Oreochromis niloticus: one gene and its partners. The protein of the gene in region 3 purifies or fractionates together with the protein of the main gene of each other region. This does not show direct contact. Links are inferred from orthologs where the notes say so. Each region holds a gene or a part of one and is shown on either strand. Other genes may lie near its edges. The genes, in order: pabpc4, trip12, ezh2 and phf1.

Region 1 (8,057 bases), on a different chromosome or scaffold from region 3:
GCCTGTGAATATATTTTATCTCTGACGGAGATTCTACTAAAGAAATGGGAACAATCTGTAAAATTCTTTAAGACAAAGAGCCGAAAGTTACAATTTAAATTTGTTTTTGTTTTTTTGTTCTAACGTGTCTGTTATGTGTAGACAAAAAACTGGTTCCTATGAGTTAAATCCCTTTTTAATGATTAAGTGACTCATATGTCAGTGTTAAGTGTCTTAACAAATGTAAAACACAAAACAAAAACAACCAAACACTCTTCCAAAAATTGTCAGGTACAAGGACGGGACTGAAAATGAGTGAAAACGCAGCCAATGTTCAAAGAAAACCTTTGAAAGACCTCCAGAAAACCCAGTGGAAAAAAATGTCTCTTTGGAAGCTAAATGTAAAGAAATGAGGGAGGCTCAAGATTTTTGCACAGTACTGCATTTGCCTGCTCGAGCCTTATATTGCTGGGGAGAGACCTATGTTACAAATGTCAAAATTTCCTTACTTTGCACAATCACAACAATACCAGTGTCAAATAAAAGAACAAAGTGTTGGGCAAATGCTCTGTATTCAGTGGGTCTTAATCGATTAATCGGCTGTTAAAACAAAAAGCAGACACTCGTCTGTTCACAACCAGCATCAGTGGGGAATTAGTCACATTTCTAAATTTGAGATTTAGAAATCTCAAATTAAAAACCACATTCAGTGCCCTAAATTCAAAATAGCAAGCAATTATTTTTACCTTGTAACAAACAACGTCCTTATCTGACAGCCATCTCATGAGTTCTCAGTTAATCTGGGTTACGCGCCTGCCATGCATGACTTGCCTGGCCTTTAGGTGCAAGCATCATGCACCCAAGTCTCCTTTAGTCAGCTTTTTGACAATGGCTCCACCTAGATGAGGCAGAAGGTGGTGTGCTCCTGTTTATGTCTTTCTTTAATCATTTATAACCAATTTCCTCTTTTGTGCTATCCTTCAGCTCCTTTCATTCCCTGAAAGTATTCCAGAATTATAGTGTGATTTTGTTTTCTGCCATGTGTGACTACACACATCTAACACATGTAATCTTAAAACTTAAATCTCAAGGTTTGCTCAACATAGAAGAAGAGCCAGAGTTAAATTACATGTCTTTCATCTACTTAATAGAAATATATAATTTTGAAGATTGTTGCCTAAGAAAATACTATAACATAAATGCAAGTTTTTTGGTGTTATTTTGTCTACTTGTAGAAATTAGATTAACCCAAACTATCCAAGTTTTCACAGCTTTTGGTTTGTTCAGATTGTAGCCGAGGAATGGCCTGCCAGAAAACTTAACCTTCAAGTTTTCATGTTGTCACCAAGCCCACAAACACCTTACAAACAGGCATAATTCTTATATCCAGCACCATATTTTTTGTGTTTGGAGTCTACTAAAACAGTTTTTCATAATTTACAGTTCCATATAATCCTGATTTATCTTAAACTGGGCCTTGGTAAACTGGGGCCCTAACAAATTTCCCATGTGTGGGACTAATAAAGGTTATCTTATCTTGGTGCAGCTCTTCAGTGTCCCTCTGTCTGAAACAAGCTGTTTTTAGCTCGTCTCCATATAAAGCCACCCTGTCTTTATGCCTTTATGGAATAGCTCTCAAGAACAGGTTTAAACAGCAGCTGGTTGGGCCTTCAGTGGAGTGATTTCTAAAACCAAGTTCTGAACAACCACAAATGTGAACAAAATACACATTTTGCTTCATTTTATTTTGCATTTTTCACTAACAGCATCTTAGATGCGTCCCATCCAGCTGCCGTGGTGTTAACATTGAATACAGAATCATTTTGAGTCAGCTTCATTGGCTTGATTGCCAGCACCTGTCTCCACTATCGCTGCACCTTATTAATAACGCACTTGTCACAGGAGAATGATCTGAATTGTTGGTCCAGTTTGGGGCTCATGATGGGGACCATGCAGATATCTCTTTGTGTGCTTCTTAGTTGTTTTATTGCTGTTCAGTCTGTTCTGTATCACAATGGCAGATTCACCCAGGATTTTGTGGGAGTTTATGAAAATCGAGTGCCTTTTTCATTTGGAAGAAACTTTGATTTTACTCCGCAAGACACAATCTTCAGCTCCTGGCGATCCTGGAGCCCTGACTTTCACAGGCTAGCTGGACTCTCTCCCTTCCTCAATGTTCCCAGAGTACAGGTGTATTGTGATGCATCGACACTAACCGTGCTGGTTGATAAGAGTGTCGGTGGTCTCAAACTGACTGGAGAGGAAATACAGCTGGGCAATGGCTGCTTCAGCAATGGAGAGCTTGCAAATGAATTTGTCTTCACTTATGGTTTTGATGAATGTGGAACTGCACCTATGGTGAGAATAAAGTTCTGTTGCAGTTCTGCATCTTTTTATGAAGCCTTTACCAAAACTGCACCATCTTACAGGTGGAGGACGACTTGGAGGTGTTCACCAACACCCTGTTCTTGAATCTAAGAAGAATTTCTCCCACCTGGTGGAAAACTCCCTCTGCAGTCCACGTGTTCTGTGTTGCAAAAAGGTGTGCTGTTACTTCAATGTCTGCAGCTAGTCACCAACCCTACTTACAGTAGGTCCATGTATTTACAGGTTGAAAAATATGCCAAAGTTTAGCGACACAACGCTTCCTGAAAATGATGACATTAGCATCAAAGCCATGAGTCGTAAGTAATAAAACTCATCCAACGTCATGTTTTAGCTGCAGCTTAATTTGTAAACGCAGTTCTTTCCTGCAGCGTCCTGGACGAGCGCAGCACAGTCAAATGTCTACAAAAGAGGCCAGGCTGTCAATCTTCAGGTTTTGGCTAAAACCGGAACAAATCAACAGGTTTTCATCAAGTCCTGCTTTGTCTCTGTGTTCCCTGAGCCTCGGGCCAAACCAAGGCAAAGAGTCATATTTAACAAAGGGTAAGTTTTCAGTTGGGGGTTTACCTCAACTGTTTTTGTTATGTCTAACCTTCTAATCGCCTGTGATATCACTGCTTTCTGCAGGTGCGTAACCCCACTGGGTTCCTCCACTACTATAGTGACGTTTGTAGCCTCCAACACAGCAGATGCGGTTAATTTTGTTCTGAACACGTCTTATCTCATTTCTGAGGTAAGTCTCTCGAAACTGATTTCACTGATGTGCAGCTCTGAACTGACTTGTGTACTCTTCTCTACAAGTTGTATATCCACTGTAGCGTGCTGATCTCAGGCCAAGGTGTCACCCCTGGCTCTAAATCCTGCAACTACAATGTGATTGAATCAAGGTATCAATATTCACATAATGTATTTGTTTCTTTCTTTTTCAAATGTCCTATAAATGAAACTTTCCTTTCAGATGGGAGGAACTAAGTGGTGATTTGGAGGCATGTGAGTGCTGTAGCTCAAGGTGTAAAGGCAAAAACCGTCCTGGTGGTGAGTGTTTTGGTTTTCTGTCTGAAGGTGATGGAAGACAGAAATAAACTTTAGAACTGACTTGCTGCATGCATGTCGTTTCAGATGCCAAAGCTATGGTCAGCACTGGTCCCTTTGTCATTGTCGATGAAGATGGTGAGAGAACTCCTCTGCCTTCAGTCTCCGAACAAGAAACTGCTAACATCCCAAACTCCATGCAGTCTGCTCTTCCAGATCCTGCTGATGTGATAGTTTCTGCTGCTTCTATTCCAAGAAGCAAATTCAATGCTGGCCCAGAGGGTGTAGTGGTTGTGAGTCAGGACCCTGCCACCAGGCTGACGCTTTGGCTACCTGAACAGGTGCCTCCTCAGTCTGACTCGAATGACACTCCCACACTGCGTTCTTCAACCACAGATCATGAACCTCATCTGAATCCAACCAATGAGATCAAAGGTCAAAGTTTCAGTAGTCTTTCTCCATCAACTATGAATTTGCCAATTATGGTTAACAGGTGGAAGATTCCTCCACAACCAGCAATTCCAGAGGACTTGAAAAGAAAAAGCCGGTCTGGAAGATCTGGGAACTTTGACAGCAAAGAGGAACCGGTTGACTTTTCTCTGCCAGCTGAGATTAGTGTAAAGTACCTTATGCTGATTAAAGGGCCAAATCCAGCAGAATTGGACAAGACAGCTGCCGTAGAGGAATCCCAAAGTGAAAAATGGCTGCAGAATGAGATTAAGCACCCAAACCGTGATGACCTGCCCCAGATGCTGACCGATGGTGCTGTGATGCCTGAAGGAACACATGAAATCCCACCAATAACACGCTCCAAACTCACCTTTTCCAAAGCTGCTGATGGGTTGCAGACGCTGAGTTATGAGGAAGAGGCAGTGGTGCAGAAGAAAAGTCCAGTGGAAAGAAAACAGTTGAAACTAAAGGGGCTGCAATCAACTTTCTTGAATTTGTTGTGGTAAATGACTTGTTTGCAGTTAGCCGGCAGACTGTTTAATGCATGTGAAGATGGCTGATTTAATTGTCTTCTTTTTTTTTTTTTTTTTTCCTCAGGAGGATGAAGAATGCAGAATAACCACGGCTTACTTTAAACTTGTACTTGAGATAAATAAAACTGATGTACACTAATCTGATCTCATTACTTTTGCTTTTTTAAATAAAAGTTATATTTTTATTAGTCCTTTATTTATCCAGGTAAAAATCTCATTTCCAAGAGAGACCTGGCGTCATAGCAGCGAAAGCCTGAAATACAAGTCGCATCCTTTTTTCTTTTTCTCTTTTTTTTTTTTAAATGACACTGCCGACTAAATAAGGCAGACATACTCATTCACAACATTTCGCCACCGGTGCTCATTAGCGCATCACATTTATTTATTTATTTTTAAAGCCTGTTTATAAAACGCTCCATCCTGGCTACAGTGAAAGGCTTGTATTCCCACCCAGATGTCGCTGTAGGGAGCTGGGCGCTGTAGTTGGGACAGTACCATGTGCGCTCTCCCTTTTACGCCGCATGCTCAGTGTTTTTTCTACCCCAAGTTTGACCCTGGCCACTATTTCCTCCGCACCGTCACTCTCTATAAAGTGCCCATGCTTCCCCCCCGCAGTCTCTTTCCCCGGCCACAAAACAACCGTGAGTGCCCAACTCACTGTTCCTGAAAAACTTAAAATAAAAATAATATAAAAAATATAAAATCCACAAAATCTTAAAAAGTGCAGATCTACTTAAAGAAATAGAAACCTTTTAAAAAAATAGCAAAATATTATTTTAAAAAAACATAAACATCAGGCCTCCGGCTTAACTCGAAGTTGTCGTCTTTTTTAAAGGAAACACTTCAGAAGACACCGGTCTTTATCGCGCTGCTTTTTCCAGGTTTGGCATTTTCAAAACGCCCGATCAGCTGTCTGTGCAGCGTCTTTAAACCAAAGCGCAGTTTGGATCCGGATTACAGACCATACCGACATTTTTCTAGCGTTTTTAAAACGAAGCCTTGCGTTTATCCTCTGAAATCAGCGATATGAACACAGCGACGGGGAGTTATCCGATGGCTTCTCTCTACGTTGGCGACCTGCACCCCGACATCACGGAGGCTATGCTGTACGAGAAATTCAGCCCAGCCGGACCGGTGCTCTCCATTCGGGTCTGCCGAGACATGATCACCCGGCGGTCCCTGGGATACGCTTATGTGAACTTCTCACAGCCGGCTGACGGTAAGCAGGGATGGGATAGCTGTGCTGTGTGAGCACGTTGCCTCCACAAGGCGTGAAAATGTTGACATAGTAGTAATGCGTTTCCAGTCTGCTGTTGAAACCGTTTACAGAGCCCGAAATGAACGCAAATAAATTTGGTTAATGTTAATTTTGCAGTCTGAATTGTTCATAGCAGTTCTTTAGATTGGATCAGTTATTTGACCTACATAAGCACGTCCCAGTTCTGGAGTATGGTTGGTAATATAGCAGCCTGTGTGTGTCTCTAATGTAATTCAAGCCCCCAGAACATGCAGAGTTTAAACTGTCCTTAAAAGTTGGCCAAAATCAACAAACCATCCCCATAAATCACAGGCCTAGATTTGGGTATATGAAGTCTTTTCCTACACCTTTTTAAAAACCAAAATGACCCATTTCTGTGCCTATTTAAAGGGCCAATGAGTTGAGTGAAACTAACTCCCATTGCCCTCTGCTGGCATGTTCACTGAAGGCATGAAAGAGACAAGCACAGCTGAGCCCGCTGCACTGCTTGTTGCTTGTTTGTGCTGCTGGTTGTGTGTAAATTCACTGCAGATTCAAATGGAAAAATCTGATCCTGTTTCTATTTGAATTTAATCCCAGCTTTAATAGCTGGATTAGTTCACTCACACTGTTGGGTTATGTGTTATATCCTCACCACTTAAAGCTGTTAATCTGTCATGATACACAAAAGTGAACGTATATGTAACCGTATCAGCAATGTTGTTAAGTACCTTATGTGATAAAACTGTTTCCAGTTACAATGCAGGAGTATCAAAGCACTGAGCAAAGGTAGCAGGTGTTGTGGTTCTCTTTGGGGCCCGCTGACACTGTTTGTCCTATCAACAAAAAACACCTGTCACAGCTTATCTGCGCTCGAGTCAGTTACCAAAAGCCAAAGTAAAGGAGAGGTTACAAGTGGCTCGCTTCCAGGATATCATTCCGTTACAAACGTGAGAAGAGCCAAAAGTTAGAAGACACCATTTGTTACAAGAGTGTAGACACCAGGGGGGAGGGGGTGTTGGCTGTTGGACATTTAAATGGAGTCCTGAGCACGTGTCTGTGGGGCAGTAGCTTTGTGCCTGAACAATACAGCTACTAATGCAAACCTATAACAAAGCAGTTGTTAGTAAAGAGTGTTTCATATGAAACAGAGCGGTCTTCATGCTTCGCTGTGCTCCCTGCTGGATTTCTTAATGTCACAGTTGTATCTGTAAACAAACACAAACCCGGGTGTCGCTCTTCTGAGCATTCTTTTTAAACTTGTCTCTTCCCCATCAGTGGTAGAGAATGCTCTACTCATACTCCATGCCAGCACATACCTCTCAGGGCCCCTCTCTAAATATAGCTTCCCCCTGTGCAGCCCAAAACGTGCCTGCTCCGTAATGCTTAAATAAAAAGTGGTTAACAATAATGGGTAATTCAAGACCATTGATGGCTCTATTTTCTCTTCTAAACGACACATTTGATATATGAGGGCACAACAGAGGTCACTTTGGCCTTTTTTGAATAAAGTTTCCAACTCTGAACCTTCCCGAAGTCCCCGTTTTTTGACAGTGACCGCACACCTTCCCTGAGCGCACAGGTTGTGAAGTACAATTGCAAACCAAACTGCTGATGCCAGCAGACGCAAGGCAGCTCCGCTTTGTTTACCAGACACTTTCAGCTGGAAAGCCGTGTGTGTGTGCGTGCGTGTGTGTGCGTGTGTGTGTGTGTGTGAACAAAAGGATGTTTGGCATGTGCCCACATGATGTGTGAGGGGGGGAAAGTGTGCATTTGCCTGGGCCTACAGATCACAGAATAAAGGTCAATGCAAACATAATACTGCTCATCTCAACCACATGAGCTGATATTCTGATAGTGTTTAAATGAAGGCCTGCTGCATTGCTAAGTGGCATGTGGCTCAGCAGCATGTGGTTAATCAGAACAGGGAGACATGTGCTCCAAGCTAGCCCACTGCAGCTGCCCCCCACACTTTTCCCAGCTGCTTGCAGAAAGCTCATCAGCCTCATTGTCTGCTGCAGTACCTTCACCCCTTTGGACATGTTAACGGCCTGTTTTAAAGCATTTAAACTGTTTTTCTCTTTTATTATTATAGTGCACGTGTTAAAAATGGCTGCGCTATTATTGTTGCATGGTATCAGCAGATAACAGACCGAAGCATGACTGATGTGTAAATAACCACCAGGGACCTTTCCTGTGACCTCTCTGCTCTTCCTCCGGCAGCTGAAAGAGCTCTGGACACCATGAATTTTGATGTGGTGAAAGGAAAGCCGATCAGAATCATGTGGTCCCAAAGAGATCCCTCCCTCAGGAAGTCGGGTGTGGGCAATGTTTTTATCAAGAACCTCGACAAGTCCATTGACAACAAAGCCCTGTATGACACCTTCTCTGCCTTTGGCAACATCCTTTCCTGCAAGGTACAGTTGACATAACACTGATTT
Region 2 (7,713 bases), on a different chromosome or scaffold from region 3:
AAGATGCAACATCTGGGTGGGGGCTGGCAGCAACACCACATGCCAGTAACTACATCCCCTCATAGCTGAAAATCAAAAACAGGGAACTAAAAACTTTTAAAGACTTAATGCTAACTATATTACTATGACCCAATATGATCTGTTAAAAATAAATAAATCATAGCACAGAGCACAGTTCGTGTTCCTAATCTCTCAATAACAGTCACAACAAAATGTATACTTCTCTGAATAACATTCAGTAAAATACAGCAATGCCATTAACATTAAACCTTACTGCAAATATCAAATTTTACTGAAATGTTTGAGTTTTTCCCCCCACACAGTGCACCATGAATATAAAGCTATCACCAAACACCCTACTTACGCACAGTATAATACATTTTTACACATTGGTACCTTTAAATCTTTGGCAGAACGCACTACTGGAACTTTTTCACATAATTAAAATCATCAAAAGGATCATTTTACAATTTTCTTACAACAGCAAAAGATTCCTTTGTGTATTATTAACCAAGGTCACAGCCTAATTAAAATAAACACACAATGCGGTAGACTACAAATTAATTCTTTTTTGGTTTCAGTTTAAGTCCTAAACTAACTGCCAACAGCAATTATGCTTCAAAATGACTACAACATTGTATAAAATTTACATATCTGATCCAGTGTGCTTAGTGTTAGGGGTACAGTACAATCTTAACGGTTTAATTGATCAGAATAGTACAGAAGTTTTCTTTTTAACATTAGAAGTGAATGTATATATCTAACTCACAGGAGTCAATAAAGTGACAGTACTAATAAGACAATTGATTAACTTGATCTAAACACATACAGGAAGAGGATTTCATTATTTGCTAGACAAAAACCATTGAATCCCTAAATAAATATTTTTTAATTTATTTTCAAGAGTATCTGACTATTTAAGTCACAGTTTAAACTATGATATCACGGATACTGATGATAAAAATACGCCACACTTGCCAAGCTCACTGGGCCATGTTAGGCCTGCACTGACAGTGCATCCTAGTCTTTGTTATTCGTCCATTCTGACAACTGGTGTTCCCCACTCGAGTATAATGTATTAGTTAAGCTCATCAAATGATTTACAGCCTCACATAGACCATCGACCCAGTTTATCTTACCACGTAACTAAAACAAGAACTGAAGTGTCCGATTTTTTATACCCATGATTTACAGAGGCCTATATTTCTGACGTAGTTGTCTACCACCACCGACTAACGCTAGCATGTTTAGCCACTTAATATCCTAGCAAGCCCCATACATTTTAACAATACCTCCATCGTATCGATTTATTTATACATAAAAGCTTCACACATCCAAAAGCGAAGCTTGTGGCGTTTACATCGTGAATCTAAAAAAGAGAAGACGCTAGAAGACTTGCTAACTGCAGACCAGCAGTTAGTTAAAGTTACGCTGGCTAACGTAGCAAAGGTTACACTGAAATGCGTAGTTGGCGTGCCGGTGTGTCAACCTATTCAGCTAGTACCCTAGCCAAACAAATTGTCACATTTGAGAAGCTAGCTTGTTTGTGTTACGAAACGACATAATGCTTACTAAATGGCAAAGACGCCCCTCCAACTGGCGAATAACGATCGGGTTCATCCGAGACTAGCTTCACGTCGAAAAAAGGCAACATCGACAAAACCCGTCTTTCGACAGCGGTTTAATGTAATAAAGCTAGCAGGCTACAAGTAAACTAAAGCAAGCTAAGTTGGCAGTCGGATTGCCAGGACACACAGCTCTGTGTGTGTACGCGGTCGGGGCTGACAATCAAGTTTAGAGAAAAGAGAAATACGTTTGTGTTTCGTAAGCAAGCTCACCGTCTACGATTGATGGGGGTAAATAAATCCAAAATACACAACTGTCACCTAGACAGGTAACGACGTCGATACAGTTCTACACTCTCCTTGCAACTGTCAGCGCGAATTGTTATGTACAGATAGACTAACTAATGTTGGTAAGCTATAAGGATGGCTAACAATATTTTCTGAGCTGACTTAAGGCCAGTGCCTCCCTCTCACTACTACAGCGCTGGCTAGCCTGTTAGCTACTGTTAGCCAGGAAGACAAGTTGACCACTAACAAACAGCGTGCCAGCACAGCGCATGGTTCTTGTTAAGACTTGGGTAAATGGGACACATAACGCCAAACATCTCATTCAACTACCGTTAAAGTATCTTGCTCAGAATTCAAAGCGTCACGGCTAGGTTATCATTAGCAAGCTAATACTAGCCTAGCCACAGCGAGGGTTTCTTCAATGACCGTTCTCTCGCAAACAGTAAGCTGACAAAAAAAAAAAAATAAACAGCCGGCTATTGGCTTTAAAAGACCTCGCTGTTTTCAATTAAGCTGGGCGCCGAGGTGACACCACATTACTAACCCCGTCGAGACCGAATTAGCAGCTACAGGACTGTCACGCAGCTTACGATGTTTAATCAAACAAGAGCGTTATAGCTGTTACCAGCTAACCTTGGCATGCCAGCTAATTAACATTAGCGAGCCCTGTTGTCGCTGGCTAACATTTTGCCAGCTCGACAGGATGGTTAAAAGGATTTGTGTTGAAAACAGCGTTTTTAGCAACACCGCACCAATTCAGTGTTTATGATACAGTTTTGATCAAAATTTCCCCAACATTAACAAGTTGTCTAGCTAGCAGTTAGCAAGTAAACGCTAACTAGCAAAAAGAAATGGCCCCTGATACCTTTTAGACACACAAAAAAACAGGAAAGCAGGAACGGGATTCGAGTTATTTTCGCAACACCCATTCCTCCGATGTATTTCGAGGTTGAATACTGTCAAAATCCCAAAAGACTACAGGTTTAAATGTCAGTGAAAATGTCTACCTTTTGGTATAATGTTGTTACCTATTTGTTCCAGTGTTGTAGTTGTAACAGACAGTGCACCAGCTCCTCTTTTCTCTCTACCACTGCTAGTTTCACATCAGCTGAGGGGCCTACAACCGCAATATACCTCCGCGTGATTCATCCGCTCCGGGACTAGTTTGCTCCTTATTTTCTGTGTCTGCTTGCTTTAAGTCAACAAAGCGAGCGCGAGCACTGGATCGGCTGCTCTTTCGAAACAAAGCTACGGGTTTCTAATGAAGACAACTGAACTATTTTTGTAGACATCCAGAGACAGTCGCTGAATCACTGAAGTCATTGGTAACATTAGCTTGTCACAAATATTAAGTATCAATCCGCTGGGTCGTGACCCTCCTCCTCCCCCCTTCAACAGACATATATGAAACAAGCATATCTGTAAAATTATATGTCCCGCATAACTTTTTATTATTACCTAACATCAATGATAAAGCAATCGGTCCGTTTCATGAGTCGTTGTGCAAAGACAGTTTTAGTTGCTTTTCAGTTGTCATGGCAACAGATTTGCGTCCAAAATGGCGTCTTTGCTTGGGGAGAGACTGTTTGAAATTAGTGGTCAGGGTCCGCCACCTCCAAAGGATTTTTTTCAACTTGTCATTACCAAAAACGAGGTTACGTATTAGGACGTCTTTCTTTATATAACAGACTTTCGAGGAGTAACTGTATAAAGCGTGCTAATAAAAAAATCACTCTACTTGAGGCTAGCTTAATTTTCTTAGCTTTAAATATGGCTTTGCTACTATTTTCTATTTTGCATGCTTAACCAATAGCAAGCTATTTGTTAAATAGCAAGCTATTTGTTAAGCAAGATTTGTTAGTAAGATGTTTTAATAAAATCATTCGCCCTGTTCCAGTAGCATATCGGCATCTTGTAGCCACTACTTCAAGAGTGTCTCCTGGATTAAAGTCTTGAAGTCCCATCTTTGTTTTTCCCTCTAAATTTAGGTAATACTAACCTCATGGAGGATTTCTTTGCGACTTGAATGCAGAGGTCTTCCCCCAAAGCAGCAGAGGACATCTCATCAGGACTTCCAAAATGATACAACTCTACAGTGTAAGTTTTCCTCATCGAAATCATCACTCCCCTTCCATGAAGTTCTTGATACTAGTCTTTTCTAACCTATTTCTGAATCTTGTTTGGGTTTATAATTTGACATCGAAACTTTTCAAGGATCTAACTGCAGGGCTGTGTTTGTCGACTTATCATCTGCAGATGAAGTCGGTGCTGTTTTTGGGCAAAGGATCCTGGATTACACAACAGCACTCTGTCAAGGAAAGTTTGATTACCTGGAGCGTTTACCTGATGACATCATGCTCCGAATCATGTACTGCCTTGAGCTGAAAGATGTGGCACTGCTGGCACAGACGTCACGCAGATTCAAAACGGTGAGGACAATGGTAAAGTACTGGATTTGTTCGATGATACAGAAATAATGCTTTAGTGTCTATTGTGTTTTCCTTGTGTTCAAATTCATTTGTGTTCACGTGTATGTTGTGCTGTGCTCTAACCGGATTGTACCAGCTCTTCAGCTCTGAGAAGTTTTGGGAGCAGACTGTGAGGACCTGCACTGGGTTTAACAGGGACGTTGAGGACATAGCCAATGCCATGGGCTGGAAGAGCACCTTTCTAACCTTTTTCCACAACAGTGATGATAAAAAACAGCAGTAAAACATATATTTAAAAACAAACACTTTTATTATTGTTCCAAAACAAGTAAAATCACACTGGCTCATTAGCAAACTAAAAAAGACTTCAGTAATGAATGAGGGCTTTTGTGTGTGTGTGTGTGTGTGTGTCTGTGAAAAATGTGAATATTCTCCAAAGCAAATCAGTACTTTTGCATTACAAAGGAAAGTCTTGCTTACAAGTTTTGTTTTGTTTCAAAGAGTGTGCGTTGTGTAAGATTCCTTGTAAATGACATTAAATTGGCACTTTGTGTCTGGATGACAACCTGGGGAAATTAAAACGTAAACAGACTTACAGAAAAATACGTAAGCAACTGAAGTCCTGCTGACATCATGTCATACTTCCTGTTTACATTTGCTGGTGAACTGCTGGCTGCGCCCTCTGCTGAAAGCCCTCAACCAGCCTCCGCTGTCTTTGCATACACAAGGCAGCCTGGCTTTATGTGGGATCACTGAAGCAGCCAGCAGAGGGAGCAATGTCACAATGAAAACGTCAAAATGAGTCAGATGACAGGAGGAGGAGGAGGGGGGAAATCAAGTATGTAAAGGTAACGTGTGCAAAACAAGTGCTGTAGTTCTGGTTACCATATCAAGGCCTAAAAGACTCCAACTTACTTATTCTGGATTAAAAGCTTGTGCATATGCGTGTGTAAGGGCATCTGACACAGCGGTCCTACCTACCTCTCCTGAAACCTGTACCAGCAAGCTACAGTAACATATGACAAAGGTACGCATTGTTTTTCTCTGTTTACAGGTACTTTTAGAATCAGAGCTGGCATGTTATAGTGAATGTTAAAAGAATAACATAATACAGTCCTATTGTCATGTAAGAATGCCAAAAAAAAGAAACAAAACCTAAGTAAGCCTTGTGTTATAACAAAAAGAAGAACACGTGTTAAACTGCAGGTAGTTTTCCATAAATGACCGCGCCTCCCTGCAATATCAAATATTTCTGTGGCCAAATGATAGCTGTGTGCCGGAGTGATCTGACATGACAGCATACAGCCCTGAATGGTGGGTACCATGGCCTATTATTAGCCCCTGACACCGCCTTCTCAGCTGAGTCTGGTCTAGGAAAAATATTCATTACGTAACAATAAAGAATCTGTCTCCCAGACCCACTTCCCGAATACCACAGCAACAGCTAGGCCTCACTCTGAGGCACAGAGACATCAGCCACATCCATTTGATTACTGGCGTGGTGTAGGGCTGTGTGGGTTTTTTCATGCTTATCCATTTACTGCACACATTCACAACACCACCCCTCCTTCTCAGTTCCTCTTTGTGGGTCAGTGATGCAGCGGGAGTGACGCAGCAGTAGCAGCAGCCTCCAGAAGGCAACTTTGCACAGCAGGAACCGGGAACCTCTGCCAGAGCCATAGTCCACAGACGGCAGTGACGAAGGGAAAGTGGTAATGGCCTGATGCGGGCTAGAGGAAGAATGGGAGCCGGGTAGTTGCTCTCCTCCTTCTAAACAAACACCAGAGAGGCTTCCACAGCGAAGGGACAGGCCCGGCAAGACCTTCCACACAAACGTTTTGGTAGGCATCTCAAAGTACGAGTGCTTGTTGCGGCAGCAACATGAGTTGTCCAAGGGATGAATGTCTTTGTATGCTAAAGAGTGTGAATGCTTTGAGAATGAGAATGAGGCCTACTCAGCCTTCTGCTGCAGTCTTTTCCTCTCAGCCTTTTCCCCGAAGAGCGTCCCTGCAGGCCGCAGCTGAGCTCACTGAGCATCAGAGGCGAAGAGGCCTGTTAACTTTGTTTTTAAACACATCCTAGCTGTAATGTCAGGGTTATGTTTACAAAATACCAATATGAGCACAGAACTTCCAGTTAGGACAGTTATTTTCTTATCATTTGCAGGCCTCTTTAAGCTTTAGCTTGAGGCCTAACCTCGTAAATCCCAAAGCAATTGTGCCAAGCAATAAAAAAAAGTCAGCCTAGATACCCTTATTAGGTGAACAGCACACTATGTTCATACAGATGAGTTATTATTTAGGTTAAAACAATAAGAAGACCACAAAATGGGCTAAATCTCATAAATAAGAAATGATTCGTTTTTCCAGCATCAGAATCTGCTGTCAGGTTTTACGCAGGAGAAAACCTGAAATTAGATACAAACTACTAAAATATACTGAAACCAGGGTTTTAATTTGACTTCTAATATCTCTTTGTTGTGAATTCGAGAATCACACAGGCACTAACTAAAACAACAGGTGGCTGCTATGATTGGACAGAGCTGTCATACCAGGAAGGAAAATATAAATACATATATGTATATATGTGTTGAAAGTTCAAGGCAATCGTGATCAAGAATGATCTGTTTGGTGTACCGCCCACTTTGTGGCATGCAAATCTCGATAAGCTTTAAAAAAAAAAAAGCTTATAAACTTGTCTGACCAGTAAAAAATGATGCTGTTCTTCCTCTTTTCAACCTCTTGCAGTCTATAAATATTAATTAAATGCAGCTTATTGAAAAAGAGCTCTTAATGGTTTCTGCACACAATGGAATCACACGTGTCTATTGAAAAAGGTGGTAGCAGCCAATAACCTAAATGGTCTACATGGATTAGATTTAATGTTTTATAAAGCAATAAATAGCTAGCCATTCTAGTCTCCATCTCTTTATCATCAAGTTATTTCTTACTCTCAGTATGGGGACTTATTGATACACTACAGTGATGCAACAAATGCCTTCATGGCAGCGATCATTACTGCAGTTTTAGCATGTTATGGGCTGGATTAAACGCTCCTAGCTGTCTTAGTCCAGAGGAAGGTTTAAGTAGTGGTGAGAGTCTAAAAACAAATGTATTAAACTGCTTTCCCTCCTAGAAATGATGCCAAATGAAAGTGAAATCATTTTCCCTGCATTTTCATTACACTCTGGTGCTTTCCACGAGCAGCCTTTGCAAACCATTAACTTTATTTCATTTTCACTTTTTGTACACGTGTTTTTGTGACCACCTTATTCTGTTTAAATGTTACTTTGACATGTAGTAGTTTTACTGTACAGTGTAAGGCACAGACAGTCAAAGCAAAACAAGGTTACTGTGCAGACTTATTTAAATGCAGATTTAAATGCATCCATGCAATTAACTTTCTTCCAACCAAAGCAGGGTTTTCTCATT
Region 3 (8,129 bases):
AAACTATTTTCTAATCAGCCAGCAAATATCTGAGAATTGAGGAGAGCAGCTGCTGGACTTTCTGGAGAGGAATGTTTTCCTATTCCTGTCAAAGGATTCTAGCTGCTCAACAGGTCTGGATGGTCTTGGTTGTGTTGTTTGGCTCATTATCCTCCAAATGTTGAGCATGAATTATGGTGAGAAAGGTCTGGACTGCAGGCAGGCCACTTCAGCACCGGGCTCAGCGTTCATATTTCTAGTTTCATAGGCACGAGTGGACCCCCACATCATCATGGAAGCAGACTTTGAACTGATGACAAACTGAATGCTTCCTCTCCTTTTTGTTCCAGAGAATGTGAACTCTGTGTTTTACAAAAATAATTTCAAATTTCATATTACCTGACCTCAGAACAGAAAAAGTAACTGCCCCCACTTTTAAGTCATGAACAAACTGGGAATAATCACATTTTTTGGAAAGTCCCAATCACTTTCACTAGCCACACCCAAACCTGAATACTCCCAGACCTGTTGAGTCAAGAAATCACTTAAACAGAACCTGTTTGTCAAAGTAAAGTAGGCTAAAGATCTCCAAAAGCAACACATCACGCTACAGTCTAGAGACACAGCTGCAAAACAAAGTCACTGACATCTACCAGTCTGGAAAGGAATACAAATTTCTAATTCTTTGGGACTCACGAAAACAGTAAGAGCCATTATCCACAAATGGAGAAAACTTGGAACAGCAGTGAACTTTCCCAGGAGTGCATGGCCTACCACAATTACTCCAAATTACTTGGCAGCTCATCCAGGTTGTCACAGGAAAAAAAACAAAAACAAAACAGAACATCATCTAAAGAACTGCAGGCCTCACTTGTCTCTGGTGAGCTCAGAATTCATGAAAATATTCTGTGGACCGATGAGACAAAAGCAGAACTTTGATTCCTGTTACATCTGTCATCAAACTAACGGCACATCATCAAAAGAACATCTTATCAATATTCAAACAAGGTGGCAGTATTAATGATGGTCTGGGGCTGCTTTAGGACCTGGACAACTTGCCATAATTAATGGTATCATAAATTCTGCTCTCTATCAGAAAATCCTGGAGGAGAAGGGCACTTAGTTTATGCAGCAGAACAATGATCCAACACACCAGCAAGTCCACCTCTGGGCGTTCTCTGCTGTGGCCCATTGCTTTGGAGCAATCTTCCTCTTCACATTAGACAGGCTACATCAGTGCCGGTTTTTAAGTCCAGATTGAAGACCTATTTTTATTCTCTGGCTTTTAACTCTGTGGGTGACTGACATTTTTATTAATTTTATTGTCTTGCCAAGTTTCTATATTATTATTATTTATTGTTGTATTGTTCAGCACTTTGGTCTACCGGGTGTGTTTTTAAAGTGCTATACAAATTAACGATGATGATGATGAATGGTTCAAAAAACCCAAAATGCATGTTTTGGAGAGGCCTAGTCAAAGTCCTGACTTAAATAAATCACTGCAAACATTTGACCTTCAAGAGTTGCAGATCAAGTTTTTAGGTTTAGTGGGCAATTACTTTTTTTCCACAAGGGACCAGCTTGGTTTGTATAGATTTATTTCTCTTAATAAATTAAATCATTATCATTATTATTATTCATTTACAAAATGCATTTTCTATTTACTCAGGTTATCTTTTGTCTAACAATAAAAATGTATTGACAATCTGAAATAAGTAACTATGACAAATGGAAAAAAATAAGAAATTGTGAAGGGGGGAGTTAATTTATCACAGTACTGTATATCATTCTTTTATGTACAGTCTGTGGATGAACAGCAGCCACTGTCACCTACAAATAAACAGCACAATAACCCCACCATCCTACCAAGCTAACAAGCTTGTCTCCCCTCACAAACCCAGCAGCACAGGTCGGGCTCTACCCAAAACCTGCCACATGACTCTCAAGATGACTTCTGACTAACAGGTGAAACTCGAGCTTCCTGTCATGTGTCAGCAGCACAAACTTCTATTCTTCTGATCTAGGCGATGTTATGAGTTTTATAGTGAGGGAAGTGGTTGAATATCGCCCCCGCAAGGCTTCTAGGCAAACAAGAGGGAAGCTTTTTTACTTTTATCAATGTGACAATCTCCTAACTTAAGGTGACACTCACTTTTAACACCACCTTCAGCCCCAGTTTCACAATAAAACCCTCAAAAGCTTGAACAAAAAAAGAAAGAAAATTAAATGAGAGGTACTAAAAATTATACATCAAAAAACTGTACCAGCCTTTTTCTGTGAGCTAGCTTCGAGCTAACGATAGCTTGCGGATGTCGTGCCAAGTTTGGCTCCCCTCAAAATGTGCTTCCCCTTAGCTCAGAAACAGGCTCACAAAGGTCCCAAAACACGAGTGGACGGTGGATCCATCGGAATCATTACCCTCCTCCGAGTGATTTAAAAAAAAAAAAAGACGACGGCTTCTTTATAAGCTAGTCAATATTTACGGGGATACAAGAATTGGCACGGTACCCCGGCGAGCTAGCTAACAGTTGGCGAGTTAACAAAGATTGAGGCGCCCAAGAGCACAAAGAGCAGCCCACAACAAAAGCCCCGTGAACACAGCCACGGACACTGACAGCTTCTCTCACCTCCACCCGAGCCTCTGGCCTCATCCAACGGAGCGATCCGGATCGATGCGACAAACACGGGCAAAGTCGTCCTTTGTGCTGCAGATTAGCTCGCTCCGTATTACGGCTAGCTGTAACGTTAGCTCGGTGGCTAGCTAGCAGTTTAACTCAGGAGGAGGGAGCGACCGAGTTCGCGCGACACCCGGCTTCACGCACCCAGAGCCGGCAAATAAAATAACTCAAACCGGCTCCTTCGCTCCAAGGCTGGTTAGGACACAGAAGCTGTGCGTCTATGAGGGACAGTCGCACCGTTTGGTGTCAGCCTGCTTGTAAAAAGTTATTTGGATTTTAATGTTTCCGCCTAAGCAACAGCGACTCTGTTCAAACTGCTCCTCCGCCTCACCGCCCACTACGGCTGCGGCGGATTCAAGAGGCGCCAAACGTCTAGGCCAATCACAGAACCCGATGTTAGTGTTTCCTCAGTGAGTCCTACGCGATAGGTCGAATGATATAAACGTGTAGCCAATGAAATTTGGAGCTGAGCTGGGGGCCCTGTAGCGGGGACATGTGGACAGCTTCTCTTTGTTCTCTCCTGTCAACGGAATAAAAACCAAAATATGCAAATACACAATTTGACAGTTAAGTTAATAATATTTATGCATCACATTTGAAATCAAAGCGGTGTCTCTGACGTATAACAGCTGTCACAGCCGTGGGGCTAAACTAAAACACTTATATAAAAAAGGTTTTCGACGGATTTAAGGGCAGAGGAGAGGCGACAGACAGCGCGTCGTCTCGTGCAGAACAGCTCAGGCTTCAGCAGGTGTGTGAGCGTCTCAGTGTGTCCAGAACAAGGAAACATGAAAACATGAAGGCTGAACGGGTTTATTGAATGAATGAGAGACTACAGTGCCACAACCAGCAAGGGCAAGGGTCTCTAAGTTTATTAAGCCACGCCCCTCCAAGCAGCGATTGGATGACGCTTCGAAAATGTCCGCATGATGCATTCACTGCCAGCGGAAACAGAAAACACAGCAGACAGATTAAAAGCATCATTACAAAACAATTATGTATCATTCCAAATCTTTAAGAGTAGTACAAAAAATGTATATAAAATTTATAAGAATGTTTTAATGCATTGATTTTTAAATACGTTATACATTACTTTTAATAATACTAGGGAGGGAGATGAGGAAAGCAGACTGGAATACTAATAGGTTAGGTGACCTGGTAAACAGAGTGGATGAAGAGTGCAAAGGTCGTCCAGATGACATACCTGATGGAAATGTGTAGGAGAGAGGGTGGTGGACTTTTTTTTTAACTAGATGGTTTAACACAATCCTGGAGAGAATGAGAGGATACCTGAGGTATGGAGAAAAAATGTACTTGTATTGTTTTTAAGAAGAAGGTTGATGTGCAGAGCTGTAGCAACCACAGAGGGATAATGTTGTTGAGCCATACCATGAAGAAATGGAACGTTGATGATACTAGAATAAGAAGACAGGTGGTGATCAATGAGCAGCAGCATGACTTCATGCTGAGAAAGAGCACTACAGATGTGATGTTTGCTTTGAGAGTGATGGAGAAGTATAGAGAAGGAAGGGAGGAAGAGAGGAAATGTAATGGTGCGTGCTGAAGTCAGGAGTGGCAGAGAAGTATATGAATGTGGTGCAGAACATGTATGAGGGCAACAAAACAATGGTGATCTGTGTGTTATAGTGACATGGGCAACTTTAAATACCTGGGGTCAACCATCCAAAGCAACAGACAATGCACAAGAGAGGTGAAGAAGAGATGCAGGCAGAGTGGAGTGGGTGGAGAAGAATGTCAGGGGTGATTTGTGACAGAAGAAGAGCATCAAGAGTGAAAGGGAAGGTTTATAAGATGACAGCGAGACCTGTGATGATGTGGGGGATGATGGCAGTGACAAAAAGAAAGGAGGCCGAGCTGAAGATGTTATTAATTTCATTTAGACTGAACAGGATTAGAAATAAGACCATGAGAGGGACAATAATGCATCAGCTATTTGTATTTGTTTTGCACTGTTTCTGAAAAAAAGTTGGGAAGAAAATCCCTAAAAAGTGGGAAATGGAGCATGCTGCTTTATAACTGGTAAGGTGCTCCAGTGTTCTCTTTACTGACAGGACAGTTTGTTCTAATGTTCATCTGTGTGGGATCTCACAACAGCTCCCTCTGGTGGTCACGGTGGTGCAGCTCCATCTGCCAGGCTTTTGTTTAAATTCCGTTAACTTATCTATAAAAATAAGACTCTAGATTCTCAAAGGTCCAAATATTTTTTTGTTTTGTTTTCAGTGGAGAAAGACTTTTGTGATTTTCCTGAAAACCGATTATGCTGCTACTGATAGTGTTGTTACTGTTAGTGAGCAGGTAGTGAAAGAATCTGAGTGTATAAACATCCTATAAAAAGATATTATATTTATTTATTGGTCAGCACAGAGGTTCCCAAAGTGGGGGGCGCAGAGCCATTGCAGGGGAGTGCGGTATAAAAAAAAAATGAAAAGAAAAAAGAACTCTTGGACACTACTAGCATAATGGTCAGGTTTTTTTTTGACGGGGCTTCCACACAAACACAAAGCAGGAGATGAAGCATCGCCAAACATGTTTCCAAACAAACTTCCTTGCAAGCCAAAGACTAGAAAATATGAAGAAGCATGTCTTCCCTCTGGTTTCACCTGCATAAATGCCAAGGAAGGTCTCCTCGACAGAATTAGTTTCCCCTGCGTCAAGAGCAGCGCTGGGCTCTCCAAATCACCGACAAACAGTATCCCACATTCTTGATTTTTAGCTCAAAAACACTTCTTGTAATGACTAACTACTGCTGACATTTTGGAGATGTTAGCTCTTTATACAGAGAACATATTTATGTTATTAAACATATTTAATAATAACATATTATTTATTTGTGTGAGAACATATTTACATATAAAGGTATGAAGCCATAGCTGGACTGGCCATCGGGCATACCGGGCATTTGCCCGGTGGGCCGCTGGCGATTTCTTGTTTTTATGGGCCGATGGATTTTTTTTTTAAATTTTTTTTTTAGGAAGGGTATATATAATGAAAGGTGTTGGATTGGCCAATTGGTCATGATCGACTCTGGGCTGGACCAATTACAGCCGAGGAGGCCGGATGCACCCTCCCCCTTGTTTAGCAATCTTATAGACGAACTAAAGAAAATGGAGAACAAAAAAAGGAAAGGAGGTGTTTATGAAAATATCACTAAATCTGTCATTTATTAATTTTAATATTAATTAATGATCATGTCTCACCTCTAGGGTTCTTGGTCTTAATTTAAGGTTTTTCCTATAGCGATTGACAGATCACGTGACTTTCGCGCAATGCATGCCGGGAACTCGAGGCAAAACGATCCAAGTACCGCATCAAATGCAAGCATTTGCAGCACCGCAAAACGTTCATTCTCCGGTTCCAATACATTCTTGGTTTTTCTTTGCCGCACACAAAAGGAATGTACAAAACTAAGGAGAATAATGCCGGACCGTACAAAGACAGACTCGATGAAAAGGCAAAGAAAAGATACGAGGAAAAAATCAAAGGAGTGAAAGGGTCAGACCCTTACAAGCACACAGAGTGGACAAAAGACGTCAGTGTGCTGCCCAACTTTCACCACGCTCAGATTTATAATTATACGGTTCTTGGAGTGAGTGCATACACTCATGAAGTTTTTAGTAACTTCAGGTCACTGCAACAAGCCCAGGTACAGTTTACCGACGGATGGGTACAGGACCTTGAAATGCACTGTGTAGAACACAAGACCATCGTAAAAACAAAGGTAAGTTTACCAGTCTCACAAATCGTCGTCATAAATACACATTCGTTAACCGTTTATTAATATAACCTTTGAGCTCAACGGTAATTAATTAGTAGTGGAAATAATTTCTGGTACGCATTACAGAAATGTAGCAGTGACAATAATATTGTATGTTGTAATCGCACTGGACAATTAGTGATACAAAACAACTGTTTTATCCTGTGAATAAAAGTATATGTTTTTGTCAATATACCGTGGTAATAACAGAAGCGAAACGCAATATTCTGTCAGGACAATTCACTATTTATGCACAATAAATAAAGGAGCAGCGCGACAATTTCTGTTCAGCGCCAGACTTGCTTGTAACCTATATCACCAATTATGTTAAGAAAAATGACATATTAACTACTACAAAACATGTCTGTGAAGGTTCTCAGTCATCCAGGTCATCGTAGTCAAAGGAGTTTGCAAAGAAAAGCGTCTGGACTTCTTTAAGTTGCTTGAAGACGTTTCACCTCTCATCCGAGAAGCTTCTTCAGTTCTAAGGTCAAATGGCCGAGAGTCCCAGATTTAAACCCAGTGGGAGTATCCCCCCAAGGAGGGACAAAGGACCCCCTGGTGATCCTCTAATCACATGCGCCAAGGTGTGAAAGTGGGTGTGGGACCTAATCAGCCAGGGTTTCGGGTGAGCTCATTGTGAAACCTGGCCCCACCTTGTCATGTGAATTCCTGAGGTCAGATGGCCCAGGATGTGAGTGGGCGTTAAGGCGTCTGGGGAGGGAACTCAAAACTGGATTATAGATGGCAGACAGTTGGTGTCGTAAACCACCGCCTCTGTTCAAAGATGGTCGCTCACAGTGGACATAGATGGCCTCTTTCACTCCTCTTTCAAACCATCTGTCCTCTCCAGAGATGGGCAGTAACGCGTTACTTGTAACGCGTTACTGTAATCTGATTACTTTTTTCAAGTAACGAGTAATGTAAGGGATTACTATTGCAAAAACGGTAATTAGATTACCGTTACTTTCACGTAGGAACGCTGCGTTACTGCGTTACTAAAACCGTGATTTTTTGCGAGAACGTCTCATGACAGTGACGTAAGCGAGTGCGACGTTCGTGACAACAGCTGTCTGCAGATCATAATATATGGAGTGCGGGACAGAGTGTAGCATGCAGCGTTTAAAGCGTGGAAGTACTGACCTTATTTTGAGTTTGATTCCATAAAAAGTGACAAAAACATTAGTGTCCGTTGTGCGTGGGAAGAAAACTTCTTTTTACAGCGAAAAAACCCCTAAACTTCCAAGCAAGCACCGAGTGTACTACGACGTAATGTGAAATTCACAGAGAAACTCGCGGATTCTTCCACTGACCGCCGCGGCACACCTGCACCAGGGTAAACAACCTCCGCCTACCCCAGTCCTGCTTTACAGGTGAAAATAGAGCAACAGGACCGCTAGTCTTTGATTTTATTTATTTTCTGCTGTGTTTTACTTTCATCTATTTGAAAGAGTGAGTGTAAACATAAAAAAATATTTTATTTTATGTGCTGGAATGTGCAGAAAATAGGTTTAAATGTTAAACAAATTTCTTCCAGTCAGAGAATGTTGCATATAATTTAATTTTTGCTTGATGCATAAAGTTAAAAGATTAAAACTAATAAAACAAGTTTTAAAAAGAGACTTTTCCATTTGATTACATTTTGTATGATGAATTATGCAGAAAAAGTAGAATTGGGCTGAAAGATCTATCGCTTT
Region 4 (7,704 bases), on a different chromosome or scaffold from region 3:
GAACAAATCAGACGAGCATTCATTCAACTCCTTCAGCAAAATCTGAGAGTGGAAGCAAACACCTTTACTGCGAGTTCATCCGAGCATCTCTGTGTTCAAAAGCTCAAGCTAGGTGCATTTTTAACCCAACAAGTACAAAGTTCTTTCAACAGGAAGCTACTTACTCTTCTTGCCGAAGGAAGCGGGAGGGGGGGAGGGAAAAAAAGAGTTTTTCTTACACGAGTGAATGTCCTTTCTCAGTACCCAGAACTCAGAGTTGTCCTCAAATCTCACCAGACAACACTGCTTGACTCCATCTACCTGAGAAGGAGATAGCAGGTGAGCGGAATGATTGACAAAACTAAATGGAAGTCTTTTCAAATCCAGCCAAACACACTCACGCACATGTTGCATACACACACTCAAAGGTCTCTCTGTCACACACGCATACACACTCATACATGCACTTACTCTTTTCACATTGCCGAGGTACAGTAGTCCATCACTCCATCGAGCCAACACATCATCTCCTTCACTTACTCCCCCCATCCTGAGGAAAGAGACAGAGAGGGGAGAGAGAGCAGGGCTCATGTGAAATGGAAATCCGATTTATTCGCTGAATACTTTGCTGCCATTGCTGACAGAGGGGTTTATGGCCCCGGCATTTCGACTGCTTCTGAGACAGGCGGGCTTCAGTGCAAAGGGGTTAAAATCTCCCCCCCTCCATCCTCCTCCTTTTAGACTAGAGCATAGCGACAGCCTGTATCCACCACAGTGAAAGATGAGAGTGAGTACACAACCAGAGAGCAAGACAAATGATTACTGCACACATCAAACACACATACACACACAGAAAAAAAAAACACTGCATGATGACTACTGCAATACAGTTTGACTGAATGAGCAAAGATCACAGTGCAGCTACTTGAAACATCTTCCCTGCACTTTGCTGTTGTCTTCCCCTCTCCCAACATCTTAAAAACTTGAATAGATGCATCAAATGACTCTGCAGGCATTATCTCTGCACATTGAGCATTTGTTCCAGTGCATGCACTCAAGTCAAGACAGACGCAGGATGCATTACAGTGTATGTAGCCTTTTGTGAATCAGAGGGAAATCAGGCAAATTTCACTGAAAGCTGGCCGGTGAAGGGTACCTGTCAAGTCGAACTCCTTTCCGTCGGGGTCACAGTGATTCCTGGACAGGCTGGACATGAAATGCCCTCATCTGCTGTGGGTCTCCGCTGCCCAATTACTGCCAGCTCGGATGCGCAGCCTGCGTGTTTGCAAAAAGTGGATGATGTGCATGTATGTCCCTGTCTGTGCCAAGCGCCTGTGTGTGTCAGTCAAGCCGTCAGCGAGGAGGAGGGAGAGGAGGAGGAGGAGGGGGGGGACTGACTGTCCGTCCGTCTCTCAGTCTAGTTTGTCCGTCCTCCGCGGTGCCGTTTCGTCATGTTCCCGTCGCTTTTGCTCTCTCTCCCCCCTCTCCGTCACCACCTACTGATGCTATTAAGGCGGGTTTGTCAGAGCAGCACCGGAATCAAGCCGCCAGAGACGCCATCATCCCTGCCTCTCGCTCTCGACCGACTTGTTGTGACGCAGACATAAAACACCGAGATAGAGTGGGAGGGAGATACTGATAGAGGGGGATCCAGAGGTGGCGGGGGGGTCCTCCGCGAGAGCACCTTCCTGTGTGAGAGATTGACCCTAAATCCCTGTGACAAGGTGGGATTGTGATTTCTGAGAAAAGAAAGGAGGGCGGCGGTGCGCTAAAAGCCAGCGGAAGCAGCGCGCCCGGTGACAGGGGCCAATTAAGTAGCCAATTAGTGAGTTTAGCCGCCTCATTAATTGGTTTCGAACAAGAAGGGACCGGACAAGTTTAGGAAACCGATGGGAAAAGTTTTCAGCAGTAGAAGCAGAGCAGGAAGATTAAACTGTTGCTTATCAGTGCTGATTTTTAGGAATGAACTGAATTTGGTGTGATCGTTCTTTCTGTTTTACTCAAGAGTTTGGGGATAACATTAAACATTATTTAGAAAATACTACAATGTAAGATTTAAAGCATGTATGAGCTCACTGACTTGCAACACAACGTCACAGAGAATTACTTCCCATATAAACCAGATCTTACAATTTTATCTAAAAAATAAACTCCAAAGGGGACAAATATCCAGAGGGTCATCTCCTCTGGGCTGCGATGTCTGATGGCTCACAAAAGATAAAAAACATGCACAAATGCACAGTGTCTCTAATTGCACCAGTTCCAGACATACATCCAATGCAGGCTGCTTCACTGAGTTCAGTCTTGAATGAACCATGCACGTTGTTGAGTATATATGGTTACTGAAAACCTATTAACTGCTTCAGAAAAGGCAAACATCGGGGGAAAGCTGCTTCCAGAGAGTCACAGACACGTTATTAAATTGTAAACAATGCTAAATCACTCCGGGATTTAGATTACTCTTACAGTTAAATTGCTTTAGTCAAACGGCGCGTTTTGCTGTTTTTGGCTGCAGGCTCATCCATCAAATCCAAGGTTGTGTTTGTTTGTTTTTGCTTTCTTTTCTTGTTTATGTCTTGCACATTACTCACACCAGTCGAGCGTGTGGTAACACCGCCGTGCGGTTCAAAATGGCCCCTGGCAGATTAAAAAAAAAAAAGAAAAGAAAAGAAAGAAAGAGAGAAAGCGTACAGTGTCATTTTCCAAATGTGGCCGCTGGGTGGCGAACAAATACCAGAACAGGAACTACTGCAATCAGGCCTGTCAGTCTCATGGACTCGCAGGATCAGAGTGAAGTTCGAGAGAAGCCCCAGAGGTGTGATGATGATGATGATGATGATGATATGAGTAGGATAATAAGAAAGGAAGACCATTTAAAATCCTCATGGCTCGTGGACTCTGTAATGTCGAGTCTTCACAGGTTATAAGCCAAAAAAAAGAAGCTAACACCCTGACATCATGGGTTTTTATTGCATGTGATGGGTGTGTTGTTTCTCAAGTTCCTTTCCGTGTCACAATTTAAAATGCATTTGCCATTACAGTCACACAGTAGCTGTTGTAATCTGAATGGTAGCATGGCCTACTTTTTACAGATGAAACCATTCATCCTTGAAGGAGCAGAGAAGGCAAATACTAAGATTTGACGCTACAGGAATGCACTAAAAATAGCATTAGATAATTGCTTAAAATATGAAGCTAAACCTAAAAGTGTCTAGATTAAATGTCATGGGCCTGAGGGTGTTTCTGTGGGGTTTGCGTGAATACCGATCAGCAGATGAGTTCAGTTGAGAGAACAGGTGTGTTTCTGGGATTTCTCAGTGGGGTGGCACAGGAGTGACCAACAAATAGGGTGGGATTTTTATTAAAAAATTATATCAAATCAGTTGAGCTCAGGTTTGTAAGGTAAAGACTGTTTCATGCATGTGTGTGTGTTGGCTTTTCAAAAATGAAGAATGTATTGTTTAAAAGGTGCCACAAGTAGCCCAGATTATGCCCAAGAGTGTCTGCTGTCTTGGTTTGCATTGTGAATATGGATGTGTATTTGAAGCAACCAACTATTAGAGCAATAATATCCTCAAGGTTATATTAGGCTTAAAGGGGCAATCTGAATTTTTCTACACATTAAGCTACACTGGCCAATCATGAGGGTCAACCTGTGAAAATTCTTGTGTACTGCAGAGAGCCTGCATTAAAATCTAGAGAAGTATGTAATACTCTAAAGCTAAATTATAGACGTCTGTGAAGGTTCTCAGTCATCCAGGTCATCGTAGTCTAAGGAGCTTGGAAAGAAAAGCGTCTGGACTTCTTTAAGTTGCTTGAATTAAATTATAGATCTGCAGAAGTGTTTGATCTTGACCCAAACCTAGAGGGTTCAAGTTTAAATGTCTAAGCCTAAGGTCGATTGTTGAAGTCTGGTAATACAGAAGACAGGTCAGAGGTCAGGCTTACTTTTAGGTTTATGAGTTTAATAGGGACTGCTTTATAATTGGTATTGTAATATATAGGTTTATTAAAGTATTAAAGTCAATTCAATGGGCCTGTTTTTCTGCAGTCAGCGATCGTTTAGATGAGGTGAAGATTTTATGGATGGAAAGACTTTCAAAATGACAGAAAATGCGCGTGTGTTTGCGTGTGGTTGTGCGTACACGTGCTCGTGCGCGGTCACGCAGTCTGCCTGCTGGTCCTTGAAGTAACATTTCCCCGGAGGCGACGCGTACGCGGTTGCGGTGTATCGCTATCCACACGGTGGAACTGCCCGGAGAGACGGATATGTTGCCAAAGCAGTGAATGCACAACGTACAGGAACTGCGACGTTAGAGTGAGAGAGAGGCGGGGAGAGAGGGAGGTAGGGAGGGAGGGAGGGAGTTTGCAGACAGACCAAAGTGCGCTATCAGCTGCTGAAAGCTGGACAGGCGAACAGTGTGGAGAGACTGATAGAGGGGCGAGAGAGGGTGGGGGGCGAGGCGGAGGATGGAGACTCCCTCGTCGTTGTCGGCGGTGACGGTGGTACAGATGGGTGCGACTCTCCTCAGCTGAGCCGGCCACCGATCCAGCAGCCCCGGCGGTCATCCAATGCAGTCTGGATCGAGCTGACCGCGGTTGGATAGCGCACATCCTGCGAATGAGACTTCGCTAACAGTAAGTTGAATTGTAGCTTCCTTCATTTATCTTCCTCTATTTGCTTAATTTTTATAGCCTAGCTCTTAATTTTTACGGCCTTCGTGTCGCTGAGTGATTCGCAGCAGGAAGCAAATGTCATCATCTGTCACTCTACTGTGTTTAAATACACGCGTCAAACTTTTGCAGCCCTGACAGTTTCGGGCTCCATTCTCGTCTTCCAGCCGACATCGAGACTGAAGCTGTCATTAGGACTGTACATTGCTGTAGCACCACCCCACGGCTACATTTATTAAACAGAAAATAGGCATTATGGGGTGTGACTTACTGTAGCCTAGTTACTGCGTTATATGTGTGTACACCTCAGTCATATGTGGCTGTTTGCTTTGGTCAGGCCAGTGAATAGCAGCCTTTCAGACTTCTGCACAACCGTTGGTCAGCTAGATCATATGCTGCACTGGTAATGCTTTGTTTCCCCTGCAGGCCTGCTCCCCTTTCCTCTCTTATTCACGGTACAAACTTGCTTTCTTGAGCAAGAATATAATGAACCACCACAAACCTGCAGTAAAGACAGAGCATTATGCAAGAGAAAGTTTAGTGTTACACAAATTGTAAAGAACCAAAACAAAATGAGTGGAAACCAGGGAGTGCCATTAATGCATTTTTAGACCACACACTTTTTAAGTGCTCGTTCGGATCCAGAGCTGTGTGAACAATCAGATGGGTCATGTGCCTTGCTCAAAGGTGTTCTGAACATGCTAGCAGGGCAGACTCTGCTGTTCTGTTGCTGGTCACATCACAGCCATTCTGTATCATTTGCTCCTGGTAAAAGTCAGAAGAAACTGCAACACACGTAACATTTATTAATACACCAAACTGCACAACGGAGCACTTTAACGTGTTCTTTTTAATAAAAATTCTTCAGGTTAACATAACTGTTTATGTGTCTGTGGTTGACATTTCCATCACCCTCATATCACTCCTACACCCACCAACTCTCTCGCTCAACACCTCTTTTCCTGTAACAGTGTTTACTTGATGTTTATCTTCAGGGCAATCTAAATACCAAAGAGGGGAAAGGGAAATGGAAGGAAGGGTTGCTATGCAAATCCAGACCTGCTGTAGAGCACAGTCAGTGTGTTAAGCAAATCAACTCCAGGATACCATTAACCATAGAGTGTTGCTTTTGTTTAAAATGCAGTTTAAAGGTTATCTTAAAGTTTTTAAAGCTATAACTGATAATTTGTTCAATGTGGAGCTCTAACATGTGCAAAGTATTCACAGGTGATTCAAGAAGACACATAACGAGGCACACACAAGCGTGGCTATACGTCATAAAGTTACAGTTAGTTTATTTATTGAAAATGACTGATGATTACTTCTTCAAACCTTAAGTACAAAATCCAGCTGCCCAGTGGTCACACATTTAGGGACATCACTCTGTACACTCTTACAGCCTTTCCTCATTTTATAAAACAAACATATTATGAAGAACCTAACTGGAAAATAGAAACATTTAGATTTCTCACATTTGTTATCTAACTGTCTAAGATTAGACATTAAAAAGCATCAAAATAAAGAAAATACAAGTTAGTTTTTGAGAAGAAAAATCGAATTCAAGATAAAAAAAATAAGCTTTAAAGCTCTGAGAAAAAAGTACTGTGCAGTGCAGGAATAAACAGTCAAGTTTTAAGCTTTGATCTAAAACCTAGAAAGTTGGAGAGAGTCTCTGTGTTTCTGACAGTTTGTTTCAGATTTGCAGTGCTTAAAAGGAAAACAGTGCTTTTCTATAATGAGTTTGGACATGTTAAATGAGTCAGTTGTGGAAATTTAAGTTAGTTTCTGATGTGATCCACTTTCATTGCCTCAGCTTTAGCACCACTGTCTGATAATAATGTAATTTTATACTTTTATGTTATAAGGAAATGAACATGTTAGTACTTAATTCATTCCAACAGCTTCTTAAGAAATATCTAAAACATTTCTTATGTGTCTCTTGTCTGCAGCAGCTGGCACCATGCTCCCCCGTAACATACGTACAGGTGGTTATAACCTGCCAGGGGTGGAATCAGACGATGTGCCCCTCATTGGCTATCGACCTTTATCACCTGACAGAGGAACCATAAGTGGCCACTCAGGGAGGAGAGCCGCTGGCGCTGAAGTGCAAAGTTCGCAGGTGAATGGTTTTTACTTTGCCTCAAAATGGATGGATGGGTGTTTTATATTTGTATATTGGTGTTCCCAACAATCACAGAAAAATATGTAAGTTTACTCAGTGTAATGTTACCTTTCTTGGCTACCTGTCTCTCCCGCCAACGACATCATATTGTTACTAATCTTAAAATGTTACAACAACTTTCAACATGTTCAAAATGTGTTCTGACCATCGATAAAGGCGCTAGCTACGACTAAATTTAGCAAATAGTAGTAACTGGCTAAATGGATAGCTGATTCATCTGATGGATAATACAGCAGTTAATGCTGTAAGCTAATGCTATTTCCTGCTATTTTATTAGAATGACATTATACTTATTAATTGTTTGTGGCTTAAAGAAACGTGTGAGATTAAAACATTAACATTTTCCCTGAACAAGTCAGGTTTTGGCCCACTGCGCAATTGCAGCACATGCAATGGCAGCAGCCAATTCCTTCATTTGCATTACTTACACTGCATCGCCCAATCTAATCTCTTAACAAGACTGGCCCCTCCCCTACCTTCACCATGCACTCACATTTTGTGTGGAAGAAGTGTCAAAGGTGCTACTGAAAAGCTGAGAGAATAAAAAGAAACTAATAATAAATGCAGCAAAATCTGTCAAATAAACCAACATGTTAGCTGTTGTTGCTGTTGGACCGTGAACAGTAGTACCAGCAACATCTAGTAACAGCTAGTAACCAGACCTCACAGTCACACGAGGCTACCGCTTCTAGCGCCAGCTGTGGAGAAGTCAGGAAGAGACGAGGAAGAGAAATTATTTTGGTTAGAAACTAGATGGAGGACAATAATTAGGAAGGGAGAGATTCAAGGATTCAGGTAAAACGAATGGGTGCTTTTACCATGAGCCGCTGCTAATAGCAAAAGTGTAGCTTTTAATATTGTAACCCAAC

Evidence for each region.
Region 1: the proteins of ezh2 (region 3) and pabpc4 purify together in Homo sapiens (affinity purification with mass spectrometry, with the first as the bait; 3 studies listed by BioGRID). This does not show direct contact. The link is inferred for Oreochromis niloticus from reciprocal best matches to the Homo sapiens genes EZH2 and PABPC4.
Region 2: the proteins of ezh2 (region 3) and trip12 purify together in Homo sapiens (affinity purification with mass spectrometry; 3 studies listed by BioGRID, with this or other methods). This does not show direct contact. The link is inferred for Oreochromis niloticus from reciprocal best matches to the Homo sapiens genes EZH2 and TRIP12.
Region 4: the proteins of ezh2 (region 3) and phf1 purify together in Homo sapiens (affinity purification with mass spectrometry; 15 studies listed by BioGRID and IntAct, with this or other methods). This does not show direct contact. The link is inferred for Oreochromis niloticus from reciprocal best matches to the Homo sapiens genes EZH2 and PHF1.

The regions. Positions count from the first base shown.
Region 1 is NC_031983.2:27,564,453-27,572,509, forward strand, and holds the start of pabpc4 (polyadenylate-binding protein 4), read left to right. Parts: upstream 1-4,983; 5' UTR 4,984-5,405; coding exon 5,406-5,598; intron 5,599-7,839; coding exon 7,840-8,033; intron 8,034-8,057. Other genes in the region: zpcx (zona pellucida protein C), read left to right, coding at 1,918-2,337, 2,409-2,521, 2,590-2,663, 2,736-2,907, 2,992-3,097, 3,166-3,251, 3,323-3,399, 3,484-4,348 and 1 more.
Region 2 is NC_031979.2:12,415,743-12,423,455, reverse strand, and holds the start of trip12 (E3 ubiquitin-protein ligase TRIP12), read right to left. Parts: upstream 3,031-7,713; 5' UTR 2,882-3,030; exon of another isoform or gene 2,861-2,881; intron 2,144-2,860; coding exon of another isoform or gene 2,123-2,143; exon of another isoform or gene 2,016-2,122; intron 1,973-2,015; exon of another isoform or gene 1,839-1,972; intron 1,705-1,838; exon of another isoform or gene 1,573-1,704; intron 1-1,572. Other genes in the region: fbxo36a (F-box only protein 36a), read left to right, coding at 3,412-3,507, 3,842-3,950, 4,110-4,282, 4,419-4,565. UniProt on the Homo sapiens protein: E3 ubiquitin-protein ligase involved in ubiquitin fusion degradation (UFD) pathway and regulation of DNA repair.
Region 3 is NC_031974.2:2,281,045-2,289,173, forward strand, and holds the start of ezh2 (histone-lysine N-methyltransferase EZH2), read right to left. Parts: upstream 3,026-8,129; 5' UTR 2,607-3,025; intron 2,426-2,606; exon of another isoform or gene 2,248-2,425; intron 1-2,247. UniProt on the Homo sapiens protein: Polycomb group (PcG) protein. Catalytic subunit of the PRC2/EED-EZH2 complex, which methylates 'Lys-9' (H3K9me) and 'Lys-27' (H3K27me) of histone H3, leading to transcriptional repression of the affected target gene.
Region 4 is NC_031976.2:34,396,966-34,404,669, reverse strand, and holds the start of phf1 (PHD finger protein 1), read right to left. Parts: upstream 3,038-7,704; 5' UTR 1,136-3,037; intron 530-1,135; 5' UTR 529-529; coding exon 451-528; intron 301-450; coding exon 219-300; intron 1-218. Other genes in the region: rgl2 (ral guanine nucleotide dissociation stimulator-like 2), read left to right, coding at 6,614-6,772. UniProt on the Homo sapiens protein: Polycomb group (PcG) that specifically binds histone H3 trimethylated at 'Lys-36' (H3K36me3) and recruits the PRC2 complex. Involved in DNA damage response and is recruited at double-strand breaks (DSBs).